3 linked regions of the Drosophila melanogaster genome follow. The protein of the gene in region 3 interacts with the protein of the main gene of each other region in a pairwise test. Each region holds a gene or a part of one and is shown on either strand. Other genes may lie near its edges.

The links.
Region 1: the proteins of pim (region 3) and thr interact in a two-hybrid assay, tested with the Drosophila melanogaster proteins (2 studies listed by BioGRID).
Region 2: the proteins of pim (region 3) and Sse interact in a two-hybrid assay, tested with the Drosophila melanogaster proteins (2 studies listed by BioGRID).

Annotation. Positions count from the first base shown.
Region 1 is NT_033778.4:17,860,385-17,867,863, forward strand, and holds thr (three rows), read right to left. Parts: upstream 5,580-7,479; 5' UTR 5,467-5,579; coding exon 5,167-5,466; intron 5,112-5,166; coding exon 4,122-5,111; intron 4,064-4,121; coding exon 1,214-4,063; 3' UTR 1,130-1,213; coding exon of another isoform or gene 945-1,129; 3' UTR 889-944; downstream 1-888. Other genes in the region: CG14490 (uncharacterized protein), read left to right, coding at 415-823, 945-1,129; mapmodulin, read right to left, coding at 6,826-6,869, 6,942-7,175, 7,399-7,479. UniProt on the Drosophila melanogaster protein: Required specifically for chromosome disjunction during all mitoses; maternally provided protein is sufficient until mitosis 14 then zygotic protein is required.
Region 2 is NT_037436.4:5,659,050-5,664,331, reverse strand, and holds Sse (separase), read left to right. Parts: upstream 1-2,084; 5' UTR 2,085-2,177; coding exon 2,178-2,250; intron 2,251-2,334; coding exon 2,335-2,530; intron 2,531-2,593; coding exon 2,594-3,065; intron 3,066-3,122; coding exon 3,123-3,482; intron 3,483-3,536; coding exon 3,537-3,835; intron 3,836-3,892; coding exon 3,893-4,218; intron 4,219-4,274; coding exon 4,275-4,453; 3' UTR 4,454-4,632; downstream 4,633-5,282.
Region 3 is NT_033779.5:10,361,071-10,364,769, reverse strand, and holds pim (pimples), read right to left. Parts: upstream 1,782-3,699; 5' UTR 1,672-1,781; coding exon 1,632-1,671; intron 1,569-1,631; coding exon 1,245-1,568; intron 1,182-1,244; coding exon 946-1,181; 3' UTR 678-945; downstream 1-677. Other genes in the region: Cand1 (Cullin-associated and neddylation-dissociated 1), read left to right, coding at 2,263-2,307, 2,373-2,756, 2,815-3,104, 3,186-3,348, 3,409-3,699.

The sequences.
Region 1 (7,479 bases), on a different chromosome or scaffold from region 3:
ATGCAACATAAAACAATTGTAAAATAAAGTATTTGAAAATGTACTGCAATATTTATATACGAATTATATTCATAGGTATTCCAATAGTTTTGGAAAATATAACAGTCTATTTTCGATCTTTACCGATGTAAGCTAAATAGCGCTGTAATTTATATACGACTGATTAAACGATTTTTACTACATACACTTAACCGGAACAAACGATTTTCTATTGAGCCAATGTCTTTGGCCTCCTTAAGTTAGCGTGTCGCTGCTGGAGGAAGCCAAATGGTGGCAAGACATGCTGCTGCTGGCTGGGGGGGTTCGATTAGACAAGTGACACCACCGCACGCACACCGCCGCCTAAAGTCGGACGACACCACATGGCACCGCCGCAATTGGACGGACTTGCTCCCGCGCTCAGTCATCGAAGACATGTCGTCGCGTACGAGCGGATATAGTAGTGGAGTTCGCTCTCAACGTTATCCTGGTGGGCAGTACCAGGGCAAATGGTTGGGCCAGCAGCCTCACGGGTTTGGGGTAAAGCAAACGAGCAGTGGACTTGTCTACGAGGGTCACTGGCAGAAGGGTCAACGGCATGGCATCGGAAGTTTGCGTCGCAAGGAGCTCGATGGCCGCATGGAACGCATCTACGTGGGTCAGTGGCGGGAGAACAAGCGGAGTGGCGAGGGCAAGCAGTTCTATCCGGACGGATCCGTCTACTTTGGTCAGTGGCTAGCGGACCAGCGAAGTGGAGAGGGCATCCTATGGCAGGCGGATGGCGGCATCTATGTGGGCGAGTGGCTTCGGGACAAGATGCACGAAAAGGGTTTACTTTTCACGGGTGAGTGTGATAAAGAAATAAGATATGTTCCTTTGGATGTATTTGTTTCATTTTATTTATTTTTTCGCAACTTTAAAAATGCATAAAGATTATAGATAATAAGTTAATATGTTATCCATAGCAACGGGAAATCGCTACGTGGGTCAATTTGAAGGAGGCTGCAAATCGGGCTCAGGTGTATTTTACCATGCCAGCAATGGACAGCGGATTCAGCACGGTTTTTGGAGCAAGGACATCTGTAGAACGTCACTACTGTCCCTGCCACAAGATAAAAACAATGAATTTATGTCAAAAGCTCTTTTGTAACACTTACACACAATATATATATATATTTAAATACCAAGACATTTTCGATAAGAATAAATACGAACTAAGGAGACTACTATCTAATCAGTGCCGATGCCGTGTGCGTGTGCTAATGGACTCCGTTTCGGGAGCCTGTGCTTCCAAAACCTGGCGCCTCGTTCGCTTGGATGAAAGAGTCGCTGTCTTTGGTGTCTCTACTGGTTGGCGCAGCCTGGCTCTGGTGCTCCGTGTACTTGTAGTTATTGTCGGCGTTTCTACTATTTCCAAGCTATTATCCAATGTTAGGACTTTACAAGCTTTGGATGTGGCCTTGGGTTTTGCCTTCTCCCTACTTTTTGGTTGTGTCTTCTTTGTGGACACCAAAGGTGAATCGTCATCGTCGCTTATCTCGATCGCTTGGCAGGCATTTAGATCCACGTGATCCGAAGGCGGTGTATTCTCTGTTCCGCTGCCACCGCTGCTACTGCAACTGGTAGCACTTGGTGGTCGTAGTTCCAGCTCCTCGTAAATTCTGAATCGAGGTGCCTTTTTGGCCGACTGTTTAACTTTAGACGCCGTATTCTTGACTGCTGAAACCGATCCTATTGCGGTTCGTTTCTTATCTTCGGGTGAGTGATTGAATACCAAAGCACGTCGAAGGATTTTGACCTGTGGCTTATCCTGACCCACGGGTTTGAGTTCTAACTGAGCCGTCTTTAGCTGAGCCAAAAAATTGTACTCGAAGTTAATGTCGACCGCGCGTGATCGCATTTTAAGGCCCAATTGAGCCGTTGATATAGCCTCTACATGCTTTCGCGCAAAGCGAAGATAGTTCAGATGATACAGCTGCTGGGCATGCAACATGGGATACAAAGCGCTACTCATCGGAGGTTTTTCCTGCATCCAACTATGCGCTCTTCCATAGAATTCGTCCAATTGTTCGCTGTTTCTCTGCAGAAAGCGGAGACGTGCATGTAGACAGCCCGTTACAAAGTACAAGCATTGCAGCTGGGAATTCTCTCGAAGATTCGCTGGCGCCACATCGAGTGTTATGTAGCGATCCAAGTCCAGTTGGGGATTTGGGCTATGTGGTCGCATTTTGAGCAGATTCGGCGAGGCCATATTTAATAGCTGCTGCTTTCTGATCGGCTCCACCAACTGGAGGAGATGCATATTACTAGCCAGATCTCTAATTGCTACATCCTTAATCGCTTCCTTTTCCGGCCTACTCGTTGGATTCAGCTGTTTTATACCTAAACAATGCTCGATGAGTCTCAACTTCGATTGCGCCTTGTCGAAACTTTCCATTTGCAAATTGGTCCATAACCATGCAAGGAATACCTCTATGGCTCTTAAAGCCAAGCCAGATTGGAGTACCAAATGTAGTGCAATGTTGGAGAAGGACAGTCTTTCGCTTAATCTGTTCGCAGAGCACTCGGTGCTTTCCCTGACAAGAGTCGAAAGAAGCAGCTGCAATGAGCCGCCATCTAAACTGGATAGATTGCAAAAACTTCGCACATTGTCCAGAAGAATGTCCAATTGACGCAGAGGAGTCGGCAGCCTGCAATTCGTTGGCTTCCTTTGCTGATACCCAATTCGAAAGCGCACCGTTTGCAGTGTAAGCAATACAATATCACTTTTTCCTTGTCTCTCAGGAAACTCTTCGCGAAGTTGTTCCACATGCAATAGAAGCAACTGGGCATGACTATAGCATTCCATTCTGGCATAGTAACTGGCGAGGTGACAAAAACAGAGCATTACCGTAGTTTGCTGACGCTTGAAGAATTTGCCATTTTTCAATTGAGGCCACAAATCATCCAGCAATTCCTCTGCTACTTCCACTTCCTCGCCGAGTTTCAGATTTAAACGAGAACTAACCTCATTCTGTGACAGAAAATGATTTAGGGCACGCAGATAGGTAAAACGATCTTCCAGCAAGCGACCCATCCTCAGAAGCAACAGCCAGGCATCATCCTCTTCTGACTGATACCCCATACTTGAAAGTGCATTGGCAGTAGCGATGGCATCGTCAATCAATGCCTCCCAATCAATAGACGTTTCATTTGCGCTCAATGGCTCTTGATCTGCTCGATCGAAGAAGTTGCTGAAGGCCGAGATGGCTTCACTAGCATAGTTGACCAATCGCTGCTCCCTTTGTATGTTCATCTGCCATAAATTCTTGCTGAGTAGCAGCTCCTCGAACATATTTTCCGTTATCTCCTTGGTGGAAACTTTGGTTTTTTGAGCCTCCAGTGCGTCCAGTAGTAGTCCCACACTTGCGTGGCCCAGGCACAAGTTATCCATTCGACTGAGCGAACGTTGTTGCCTTAGCTTATCATGAACCTCTATGCATTTCTTCGAAATCGAGTCATCCTTTCGCATTTGTCTGGCCAAGAGTACCAGATGATAGTCACTCGTTCGGCAACGAATAAGTGATTCCATATGAGCCGTAGAAGGACTCCTCAAATAGTGTAGTAAGGCAAAGAAATCGGTATCATACAGCTGTTTCTTCTGGTCCGGAGTGAGAGGGAAAGGTAGTGGCGTGGACTCGTGCCACTCGTAGACACACCTTTTGATCTCGGTGCCCTTTTTTCCCAGATTGTGATAGTACAAACAGACCTGTGATCTTAATCGTGCCGGATTCGTAATCGAGGCCAAGTAACTGGCTTGAATTCGACATGCTATATTGGAATCGCCGCAATGGGAGCTGGCCTTAAAGAGGCGTCGGAGTAAACTGCTCATATCCTGGTCGGCAACCAAAGGTCGCAGCTTCTGCAGTGGCTCCAAAAGTGGCAGCAGCACGGACATTTGCTCCGGACAGGTGACCTGATCAGCCACGTATGTCAGCTGGCGCACTAGCTTAATGATCTCCACACTGGTGGGACCCAAACACTTCATGGTCTTAGCTACATCCATTGAGTATTTGACTACTCCCAGTAAGGGCTTGTGAGGGCTCTGCAATAGTATTGAAATGTAGCATTAAAATTCCACAAAATTAGATAAAAATACCCACCACATTTGTTTTCTGCTCCGCCGCCGGTTTCCAATTAATATACGCATCTAATGCGCACAATCCATACGCCAATATGCAGTGCCGTCGCACGCTCTTGCATGCCTCGTGGGAGCAAGTGCAGCCCAAAGGACTCCTCGTAATATTAACCGCCAAGCTAGCACACGTCTGAAGCAACTGAAAGTGCGCTGTGTAGATATCGGGGCTGCTCTCTCCGTCAAACTGCTGCCAAAATATCTGAAAAGGACTCTGCAACTTACTGTTACTTTGATGGATGAGCACCTGTAGCAATTGAATGGCCACCAGAAAATCCGCTAGCCACTGTTCTTTGGCATGCGAGGCTACTTTGTGCTCGAAGAAGTGCTGAAACTTGCTAGACAAGTCAATGTAGGTGCGCTTAAAGTCGCCTGTGGGTTCCCGAACAAAGATTAACTTGATATAGTAGTACATCAGCTGTAGAGCATAGCACAGGTTTGATTCCTGGCGAAATAGTTCCTTGCTCATGCGCAGCAGCTGCAATGACATCTGTTGATTGGACTGTGGACTGAACATGTCGATTTGTACGAGAGCCAACGTGAGACTCAGGCACTCAGGGAATAAGTTGGCCAGGTTCGAACTGGTGCTGCTGGCCAGGAGCATAAGCAGCGCGTTGAACATTTTGGCAAGACTCTCCGACGGCAGGAAGCTTAGGGACTTGAAGAATGATCTACTTCTTTTGCCAAATAAACTCTCGTTTAGTTGAACTAGAAGCGTTGCGCATAGACTTATTTGCCTTTGCGTCATGGCTGCGAATAGATCTCCCAATGATTCCAAAGCATAACACAATTGACTTGTAGCTTCCAAGGGGAGTTTTTGCTTCTGCAGCAGCACATGGAAACCATTGAAGTGGGTCAAATGTATGTCCAGATATATTTTGTAGTCTGATTCTTCTTGCAGACGGCAGGGTTGTTGTCGGATGAGGTTGTACAGCTTCTGACAGGCTTCAATGGATCGCTGTGAACGGGAGAATTGGTTAGAAAGATTCGAAGATTCTTATAGCGACTCCTACCTGATGAAACAAGCCATGATGTATGTACCGCAGGCTGGACAAGTGCGCTTCCCATAAGCTTGGCTTCTCCTCGCAGGGAACTACGCGTGGCAGCATTATGCCCATGATGTCGCAGTAAAGATCCGAGTTCTGGTGCAGATTATCCTTTAAGGCGAGGCAAATATGGCGCAATACATTCACTTCGTATCTCAGAGGTAGTCCATCGCCAGACAACTCCCGGAATTTGGCTTCCACCGTTTTGCGGACTTTTTCCACATCGGAGCGGCTGCCCTTCAGCTGGGTGGCTATATCAGTAGACATTTTTTCAAAGGGAATTGGCACATTTAACTAGTTTAACTGCGACGCTTCCTTTTTTGTTGCTTTGCGCCAGATTTTGAGATCCAGTGTGACCGTCCATGCTAAAGCTGGAAATCCTTTAACGATAACATCGATATCTCTAGTTTTCATATCAGAACACAAATACTACAAATTCTTGTGGAAAATACTAAACTTCCATGCTCATTTCCGATAACGATACAATTTGTTGCTTTATTGATATCGAGATTTAAATAAAAAAAAATACGCTCATATGCGTAAGCTCTTCTCTTTAATAGAAATCATTTTCCCATTTTCCCCCGTAAAAGACAATTTTAAAATGATGTAGTTTATGTATTTCAGTTTCAATGGGCTGGTAAAGACACATCTCATCTCGTTAAATTAACGCGGGGCCTGCTTTAATAATAATCGGTTAATTACTTGTGTATTAAATGAAAAGTCTTGTCTAAAATTGTTTTGTGTATAAGATTTACTCGCCACATTTAATGAAAACACTACTGCCAATGAATAAGTGGAAACATTTCGGTATGTGGTAAAAGTACACTTAAAAGTATATAAAGGTAAACAATTCGGGTTGCTCAAAAGTGAGTGCTCTACGTTTACAGAATGACGCGGAGATAAAGTTTGTGTATCTGGGAGGTGGGTGATGGGTAACAATGTAAGTGTGTTTAAATCGCCTTGAGCAGAAAGTGGGCGAAGTAGGATGCTTAACTTATGCGTATTTAAAGAAGGAATGACTTAAGAGTTAGTTAAAAGTTCTTAGCAGTAAATTGTGTGATCGTTTTCACGCGAAACGTTGACAAATCCGCAGTTGTTCAAATAACGCCGGAAAGCTATTGTTTGATTTTCGTGACTGATTGAAATTTGAAAACAAGATGCTGCTGGATGGCTAAAAATTGTACACGTTGTAATTGTGTAATCTTTAACATAGTGATTTGGATTTCATGTTGCGAATCCTGAAGATGGCGAAGGTGTTTAAAATGAAACTGGAACTTGGGCTCGGATGAGGCTATACTAATGCGACTTGCTTAATTGGTTGTTTGCTTGGTTTCCTTTGCATTCCTCCTCGATTTTTCTCGCTTAAACATGTATTTTTTTCTTGTTTAGCTTTGTTTGATTATTACGTTCATTATGCTCCTCTTTGTTTGGGTTGTTTGTTGTTTTTTCTTTTTGTCGATTTCTTCTTTCATTAGCTTACATTTTAGAGAAACAAATTGTGGGTTTCCTAAAGGATTTATCATCTTTTTCTATCAAAATATGATGTGTGTGTGTGTTTTTGTTTTGTGTGTGGGTGTATATTTAAATTTATAACGTACAAAGACGCTATACCGACAGATCAGGGTTTTAACCATCATGCTTTCTCTTCTTGCCTCTGACTTGCGACTCGTCTGGAAAGAAAAAAAGGAAAATATATGGCATTAAGAACTAATGCTGTCTGGGATATAAATAATTGAACTTACCTGCTTCCTTTTCGCCATCCTTGTCCTTGGCATTCACTGATGCAGCCGATTCGTTTGCATCACCATCGGCATCATCAATATCGGAATCCTCTTCCTCGTCCTCCTCGCCAGCCTCGTCTTCGCCTTCCCAATCAGAGTTATCCTCTTCCAAATCGTCATTGTACACCTCCGACAGGGACACTTCACCATTCGCCTCTTCGTCGCTATCATCGCTGTCGTCATCTTCGTCGGAAACTGAAAAATCAAAGGTAAATTTGATTAAACCAACTTGCTTGTTTGTACATCTCGAACTTCCCTAAATCGATTTTTTAATGTGTTCAACGGAATTGAGATCAACAAACCTACGAACTACTATAACGCTTCTTGTGGGTAAGAGAATCTTTACTTTTTCTGCAGCATTTTCGAGTTAGAGAAGTTCGACTAATACTGAAGAAAAGTTCAGAAACGTTATGCTTACAATATGTAGCACTGCCCAAATTTAAAATGGCAAGGAACCAATACAGCAGGATTACAAAACTTAAGTTAGAATTGCTAGGAG
Region 2 (5,282 bases), on a different chromosome or scaffold from region 3:
CTACGCTCTTTCCGCTTTTTCAAATGGCTTTTCTTAGGATTTTTCTTATTATTTCAGCTGGTTTTTATACTTAGTTATTTTCTATTTTTTGTGAAGCTAGTTAAAAGCTTTATTTTGTTTATATTAGTATTTTTTGGAAGCAAGAAAAAGCGACAAAACACAACCGTCGACGTCGACTTCGAAATTCGTTTTGAGTCGCTCAAATGCAGAGGGATGCTGCGACGCCGACTGCGCAGTCGACCGCGACATCGCTGCAACTGTTGGAATGTGTGCCACACACACACACACATACTCTCGGTATTTTTTTTGTTTTTGGGGTGGCTTAGCTCTTGTTGTTTTTGGCCTTTCGTTACATGTGCTGCTGTGTGCGAAAGTTTTAATGTCTCCCCAATGCATATGTGTATGTGTGTGTGATTTGGCGTACGTGTGTGTTAATGTAATATTAATGTTATAATTTGCTAGGCGGAAAGGACAACGAACGTGCCGAGTTAGCGACATTAATAATGCAGCCAAAAAACATAAAGGATAAAGGCCAGTGAATTTAAAGGGGGGCTTGGTGATAGGGCTGGCTTAGTGGTGTGAGGGGGTGGTGTCTTTTCTTTTCCATCATGACAATCAAGCTAAAAAATTTCCGATTAAAGGATCAAGCCTCTCTTTTCCAACACTGGCCCACCAGGCAAAAGTTCTTGAACAGCACGTTTCCCGACAAAGTAAAAGTGAAAAGCAACATCAAAATTAATAAGTAGAAAGGATGCTGACGCTCGCGTCGCTGTCGCTGTCGGCAGTGGCAGCGGCCGCAGTAGCGGCAGAGGCAAAACCAAAGAGAGCAAAGGTCCTTATACCCCTGCGCCAATTCAATATTTATCGAAGCTTTCGTTGAGTTAAAACAGCGACCAGCTGCAGCTTCTCTAACGGTAATTATTCGCTCTAGCCGCTTGCACTTCAAAGTTTTTAAAGGTTTAACAAATGTTTTTGCATATTTTGAATATTGTTAACAACTCGTTTTAATTAGCAAGAAATACTTGAAAATTGTATTTCAGAAATAGGCGTGGCATCAAAGCTCGAGCCGCCCACTCGCATCGGTTAAATACCGTTATCTCTTGCTGCCTCCAAAAGACGTCATTAGAAAACTGCAGTTTGCAGCTGACGTCGGCAGAGGCGGCAGCAGAGCTCCAGACGCACGTCACAAAGTCTTGGAAAAAGTACATATTTAAAAATCAACAAAAAAGCCAGCTTAAAAGTTAACCAAAAGTCAAAAAATAAAATATTGTATCTCGGCTCGCATATGCATTAATTGGCCGCCTATATGTACGGTATGTACATATGTGTGTACTTGGCTTTTGTTGTTGCGTAAGGTTTTTAGGGCAACTAGAGGGTGTGGTTTAGGGTTGCCAAAAACTAAAAGGCTTTAAAGGCTAAGGGTTGACCCTCGGAAATGAATATGAACTGCATTTGATGGGAAAATAGCGCTAATATATTTTAATCAGACACTAAAACACTTGAACAAATATTTAATTGATGTTAAGGCTCCATTTTGAGAGGGTGTGGTTGCTGCGCAGCTTCCGCTGCTCATCCTTATTTAGGTGGCGTGGCAACCCTAACATCTGTTTTCCGGCCAACCTGCAATCTCTTGCACCTTTTCATCTCGATTCATGTTTTTATGAATGAACGGCCGCAAACATCAACAAGAGGGAAAGCTTTTTGCTGACAGCAAAACAACAAAAACGGGTGTACTAAAAGCTATAATGCCTTAAATCGTACGATTATAGTTTATTGGGCATAGGATGTTATAAAATTCTTAATTACTTTAAAACTACATAACTATGATCGTAAAAATTACAAGTTATCTGTAATTAATACAGTAATATGGCGTACCCGAATTGCTTGCAGAAAAGTAAATATTAATATTCATATTTTTAATTAAGTTTCATTTTTGTTAAAGCTTACGAATTTGACTAATATTAAGTACAATGCTTTTCACAATAATAACCGCGAAATTCAAAAAAAGTACTAGAAAATACCACAAAATGAGCTAGTTTCCTATCGCACATCGCCCATCGATAGCTCAGTGTTGGTAAAGGCTACAAGGCATCTATCGATATCGTCCGAAGAGGAGGAAGCAATTTGCGGACTCGAGTTTGAAAATAAGCAATTAAGTAAATAATAAATAATAGGAAATGCTGGAAACCGGTGACGAGGCTGAGATGCTGGCCGGTTTCACCAGTTCAGATGTTGGCCCCGAGGCGAAGGGTAACTATATAAGCAGACCCAGAAACTTCGAAATTCCCACTGCATCTTCGCAATAATATGTTAATGTTCATGTTTCTTCTGCAGAATATAATTTACTGCGCGCCGATGAGGAATACCGCAATGGCAATGTGGAGCACTCAATTTACTACCAGGTTAAAGCCCAGTTCCAGTCCACCGATCTGCGTTACCTTACCGAATCGGCGGAACTGGAAAATCAGCGTCCCACCGCAGAGGAGCTGATCAAATCAGCCACTAAACTGGAGAAAAAGGACTACAAAAGGTGATATATAAACTAACTAAACTCTTTTAAAACTCAAACAAACATTACCAACATTATTCTTAGCAAAAAATTTCTGCAGAACATCATCAAGTACCTCCAGCAAATGGAGCAGGAGAAACAGCCAAAGAAGCCAATCAACGAAATACCAGAGTATCTAGACTTCCTGGATGATGTCCAGGATCCTACAGAGGGTCTAACTCGCATTTCAGAGAAATGCAATAGTCTGCCCCAAGAATGGTGTGTCCTCCAGCTCTGCAAGAGCTTTAATCCCGCCACCACCTACTCCGTTTTCAATGAGATCATTGCCAGCGATGGAGCAATATATCTCACTCTGCTCCGACACTGTAGAAGTTCCCAACTGGGACCGATTTGCCTGAAAATTTCCAACGAAAATACGGCAAATCTCTTTCGAGAGTATAGCACTCTGGTGGAAAGATTTAGGCGAGTGGTAACCGTGGATCCACTCAACATGAAAGGTAAAGAGGCTAAGCAGAAGTATTGGGAGGAGCTGAATGGTTTTGACACTTTTCAGCAAGTAAGTACTACACATTAATATCAATGTATCTTATTAGCATTACTTTACCTCTTCTAGAAACTACTTGCCGACTTTCGGGACATAATATCTCCATATTCCTTTCTGTTCTTTGGCAAAAGATATGACTGCACTGTTGTTCAAAAACAAATCAAAGCCACCTATACTCGTGTTGACGATTTCTGTCTGCTTAATCAATGGGGTACCCACCAACGTGTTTTACTTTCCCAAGCGGCCTCGCATGCCAATCGACTGGAAATCGCAGATCTCAAACTCATCTGCTATGAGCTGTCGAGCAACGAAAATGAGATCCAGTCGGCATACGAATTGCTTAAGGGTTTGGCCAGCGACTGGGCGGAAGTGGAGGAGCGTCAGCCCCTGGCGAGCAGAAGATTTCCCATCATCCTGGTAGTCGATGAGGTAGTTCATCTGAATTTCTATACTATAATACATACTACTATATTATTTATGTAGCGTCTAGACCACCTCCATTGGGAACAACTAGTCACCGTGCAGGAATTCTCCCGCGTCAAATCACTGCATTGCCTATGGCGCTTGTTCCAGAATCACAAATCAAACATAAAGCATGGCTACTACACAACAAATATTAAACGTGGCATGTGTGTAATAAACCCAGATGCGGATTTGGTCAACTCCGGCCGCAGGCTGCGTAGCTTTTTTGAGTACTGGCTCTCCCAGTGGCAGCATCTTTTTGAAACCGTGCCCAATGAGGAGGTGATGGTGAAACAGGCGCTACAGGCGGATTGCTTTGTGTAAGATATGATTGCAAGCGAACAATGGCATTCTAATACTTTTGCCTTAAATTTTAGATACGCAGGTCACGGTTCTGGGCTGCAGTACGTCAATGGTCGCATAATTTGCCGGGCTCGGGTACGCAGCGTTGTTTTTCTATTCGGCTGCGATTCTACACGCATGTTGGGCACGGGCCTGTACAGCGCATTGTATGGAGCCCATGATTATTACCATGGAGCTCTGTGTCCTTCGATAGTTGGTACTCTCATGCCCGCCTTGGATGGTAATATGGATACTGTTTCGGTGACAATATTGAGTCGTTGGTTGGCCCCGGGGGATAACAAAGTGATTCCGTGGACACATATTGATCGGGTGCCTTGGCTCAAAAATGGCATTATAAAAGGTAATGTCTTATTTATATTATTAAGTTACATATTTAAGGAATTCTTTTAAATTTAGGAAAAGATGAAACCACGCCCACCATGAACGATCAACCCAACTACCATCTGGGCAGCCTGTGCTCTATCCTATCTCTCGTACAGCAAGGAAAAGTGGAGCCGAATATCTACAACTGCTGCATTTACGTGTGCCGCGGACTTCCCGCATGGAATTTGGCCGTGGAAAAGCTGCCTTTATAGCTCATTTCGTCGTGGAGTCGATCTCCCTAAGCAAAGTTTTGCGTATGGAACTGTGTACAATAATTTAATTTAATTGAACTACTTCATTCAAGTGGAAAGTGGTGCTCAAAGTTTGCATTAAACGCTAAATGTAACACTCAGAATAGTAAAAATAAACTAAACATTTATATATTAGGAAGAAATTCCAAGGCACTTACCTTTTCTTAGTTTATTTGGAAGATTGAGTGATGTTTCCTTATGGATTTAGCACTTTAACTGAAGTGTCCTTGATTTCGGTTAAGTTTTTAGTTTTAAGTAGAAGTTTTAAACATGTTTAGACTTTGTACATTGTGTTGTTGGAACTTTAAACCGTTTGAGAACTATTTAGATTAATTGATTTAGGTTAGAGTTTTCGTTTTCCTTAGTTGGAATCATGCCAGATACAGAGTACAGATTCATTCTTACATTTGCCTGTGCAAGAGTAGGGAGTGAAAAACATTAATTCGAGTACAAATCGCAATGTGGGTGAGGTAAAGTAAAAAAGTGAAAGTGTGGTGCAAACGACAGTCAGAGAGAAAGATATTGAGTGAAGGAAACATTGAGAATTTATAAAAATGCAATATAATTGAAATGCGAGTGGGGATTAGGCTAAACCCTCGTCCACGGGGCGAATGTGCAATAATGCCTGAATGCCCAGAAACGCCCATATATTTATTTACTCGCACTCGTACTCGGGCTTGTCGCCCAGTTTGCTCTCCAAAAACGCGACTCATCTCACCTCGTTCCCATCCTCGTCCTCGGGTTGCCCTTTTGGCCAGAGCTTTTCCCCCACCGAACCTGCGGCGACCTC
Region 3 (3,699 bases):
TTTCGATTCGGTGTGGTCGGAAAGTTTGTTAAATGCGTATGTATTTTGTACCAATTGCCGTATTAGGTCATAATTTTAACACAAACACAATTATTAGTGAACAATTGCACATCTTAAGTGAGTCTTTTTATGTTCATTTGCACGAGTATATGTTTATTTGTTAGATTTATACCTCTTTTGCATTTACATTTCGTTTTATACACTCATATTGTTAATTTTCACTTTTATTTTATCCAGGAGAACGGACCACTAAGGTCACCAGCGAGACGAGAAACCTTTCTGCAGCAATGTAAAAAAAACTGGATACATTACTGTGCCGCAGTGTTGCCAACTGTTGGCCACCAGAAAAAAGCCAGACGTCATTTAGCGGGAAAAGGCTAACAAGATGCAAACAAAAGCTAGCTAGCTGGGAAAATATTTTGGTTTACTGAACAAAAATGTTTAATTCCCAAATAAATATAAACTTTTCATATTAGGCAAACACAGAGGAAACCCTAAAAATAGATTAGAATTATTCCACCAAATATCAAATTCAATATAAACGGAGTGAATATACTTAAGCCCCGCGAATGCTGATAAATATCAAGAGACAAAAGGTGGAAGCAATAAACTCTGTTTACATTCACAACTGAACTCCAAAGCTCCATAAATTAATCTCCCAGTTAGTTTTTATAGTTGCTTTAATTCAAAATCACTTCCAAACGAGGTACATCGTACACATATAATTGCCTGTTGGAGGCTTAATGTCGGTTCTTAAACTACTAAATATATTGTAGCGTAAAAAAAATATTTTTCACAAATGTGATTCGAGACAACAAACTTGGATAGCTAATGGTATAACAGTTTCTCTTAGCATAACATTAATAAATAATTAATTAGTAGTACAAAGATACCTAGCTAAAAAATATTAAACTACAATTAATCATAGAACTTTTAAACAAGGATCTAAAATAGAACATCAATGCCTTCCAAGTTAGGCAATGGGGGATATAAATTTAATAAGTATTCAGGCTCTGCAGGCTCCATGTTTTCTGTGTTGTATATGTATGGCAGGTCAGTAAAATCTAGGGGCGGAAGGCATCTGTTTTCCAAATTATTTTCCAATGTGCGCAGATCAAGATAAAGTTGATCCAATAGTCCTTCATAGCCCTCTTGATTTTCCGACCAGGTCTCTGTGACCGCTGTAATAATACAACTTATAGTACAATTTTCAAGGGGAGTTGTTTAATATGAGCGGTACTTACGCTTGCTGCAGTTCTTCAAACATTTCTCGTTCGGAAAGTCAGTGTAGTTGAACAAATTGACGACTCTGTATTCGCAATTCAATACGTAGGCGCCCAAAAAGCAGCTATTTGTTTTATACCTAACTTCCTCGCGATCCCTGCTGACCACATTTTGTTTGGGGGCCTTTCGCAGCGAAAGCTTGGCAATACTACCCTCGAGTTTCAGAGAAGTGCTTTTGAACGGGGTTATTCCAGGAGTTTGGTGCATCACATTGTCAAGGTTACCAAGAGGTTTCTTCAATACGGAATTTGTAGGAACTCCATTTTTAATGGGATTCGCTGGCACTGCAATGATAAATGGCTATGTAATTACTAACACGAACGGGAGTCGAACCTAATTCAACTTACAATTAATGCCGGTGTTTTCCTTGTTTAAAATCTGATCCATTTTGTTAGCATTTATTGGTGTTAAAAAGGTATTTTGATTGAATTCTAGCAGTGAGCTGCGGTTTAGTTTAAAATAATTCCTGAAAACGAGCGGCACTTTTCTAGAGATGGGAGACTCTTAGTGCCACATAGCTGATATATCGTTCATCTGAAACGATGGTAATGACACAAAGTATTTTACTAGTAAATAAATTGGGAATTAATATTTGATAATATATATATTTATATTTTGATTGTCATGTATTAACTCAAAAATAAAATAACCTAAATATAAAAATTTACTAGTACATAAAATCTTGTTCCAAAATATTTCTCCACCGTATTTTATACCACGAAAATGTACCAAAACCATTATCGGCATCCAAAAGGCATTAGGGATTATAAAGTGGGTTTTTTAGTTTTTCAAAGTGGGCCCACTTAAGCAGCCTTTATAACAAAATTGAGTGAATATAAAACTTGGAGATTCAATACCGGAAAAATTTCAGTAAATTTTCAAGTTTTAGAACACCAAAAATAGGGCAGCCCAATACAAATACACAATATTTCACTTATCAGTTAATTGCTATCGATCGAACGTTTCAAAGCCTTCGCTATGGCGTCACATCAGTACCACCAAATTGCCAATTTGCTGGAAAAAGTATGTATAGAATTTCATTTTTGCAACATAACGAAATTCTAATTCCGCTCTCTCGTCTGCTGCAGATGACGTCGACGGACAAGGACTTCCGTTTCATGGCGACAAACGATCTGATGACGGAGCTACAGAAGGATAGCATCATCCTGGACGACGAGTCCGAGAAAAAGGTGGTGCGAATGGTGCTCAAGCTGCTGGAAGACAAGAACGGCGAAGTTCAGAACCTGGCTGTCAAGTGCCTGGGTCCCCTGGTCAACAAGGTGAAGGAGATCCAGGTGGAGACCATCGTGGACTCGCTGTGCGCCAACATGATGTCCAACACGGAGCAGCTGCGCGACATATCGAGTATTGGCCTAAAGACAGTGATTGCCGAGCTGCCGCAGTCCTCAAACTCCCTGGCCCCAAATGTCTGTCAAAGGATCACCGGCAAACTGAGCACAGCAATTGAGAAGGTGCGTTATATTGCTATTCCCTAGGCACCCAAACGTTTAATCCGTTGTTCCTTAATAGGAGGACGTCTCTGTGAAACTGGAGTCGCTGGACATTCTGGCCGATCTGCTCTCTCGCTTCGGGGAGTTCCTCGTTCCCTTCCACAGCACCATTCTGAAAGCTCTGATGCCCCAGTTGGCCTCATCGCGCCAGGCTGTTCGCAAGCGTACCATCGTGGCCCTGTCATTTCTGCTGATCCAGGCCAATAGCAACGCCTACAACGGTGTCATCGATCATCTGCTCGATGGCCTAGAGAACCCACCAAATCCAGCTGCCATTCGAACTTACATTCAGTGCCTGGCTTCGATATGGTAAGTTCCAATTCCTGAAATTGTTATATATTTTATGCCATATGATCTTTAGATGCAATTTTATTTAACTTTACTCTTTAGTCGACAGGCTGGCCATCGACTTTGCAATCACATTGATCGCTCCATGCTCCTGCTGAGCCAGTACAGCCAGCGGGATGACGATGAGCTGCGCGAGTTTTGTCTGCAGGCCTGCGAAGCTTTCGTCATGCGCTGCCCAGATGCCATAAACCCGCATATTCCCATGGTAAGGAGTACACATGCTTTATGTTCTCATTCACGTTTAATAGCTTATGGGTTTTGTTAGATCCTGGAGCTGTGCCTCAACTATATCACCTACGATCCAAACTACAACTACGAGACGGATGATGGCGACACTGGCAATGCCATGGACACGGAGGATGATGAGTACGTCGATAGTGAGGAGTACAGTGACGACGACGACATGAGCTGGAAGGTTCGTCGCGCTGCAGCCAAGTGTCTGGAGGTCTTGATATCCACACGGCAGGAGCTCGTCGAGGACTTCTATCGCAGCCTGAGTCCGGCTTTGATTGCGCGCTTCAAGGAGCGTGAGGAGAATGTTAAGTCCGACATATTT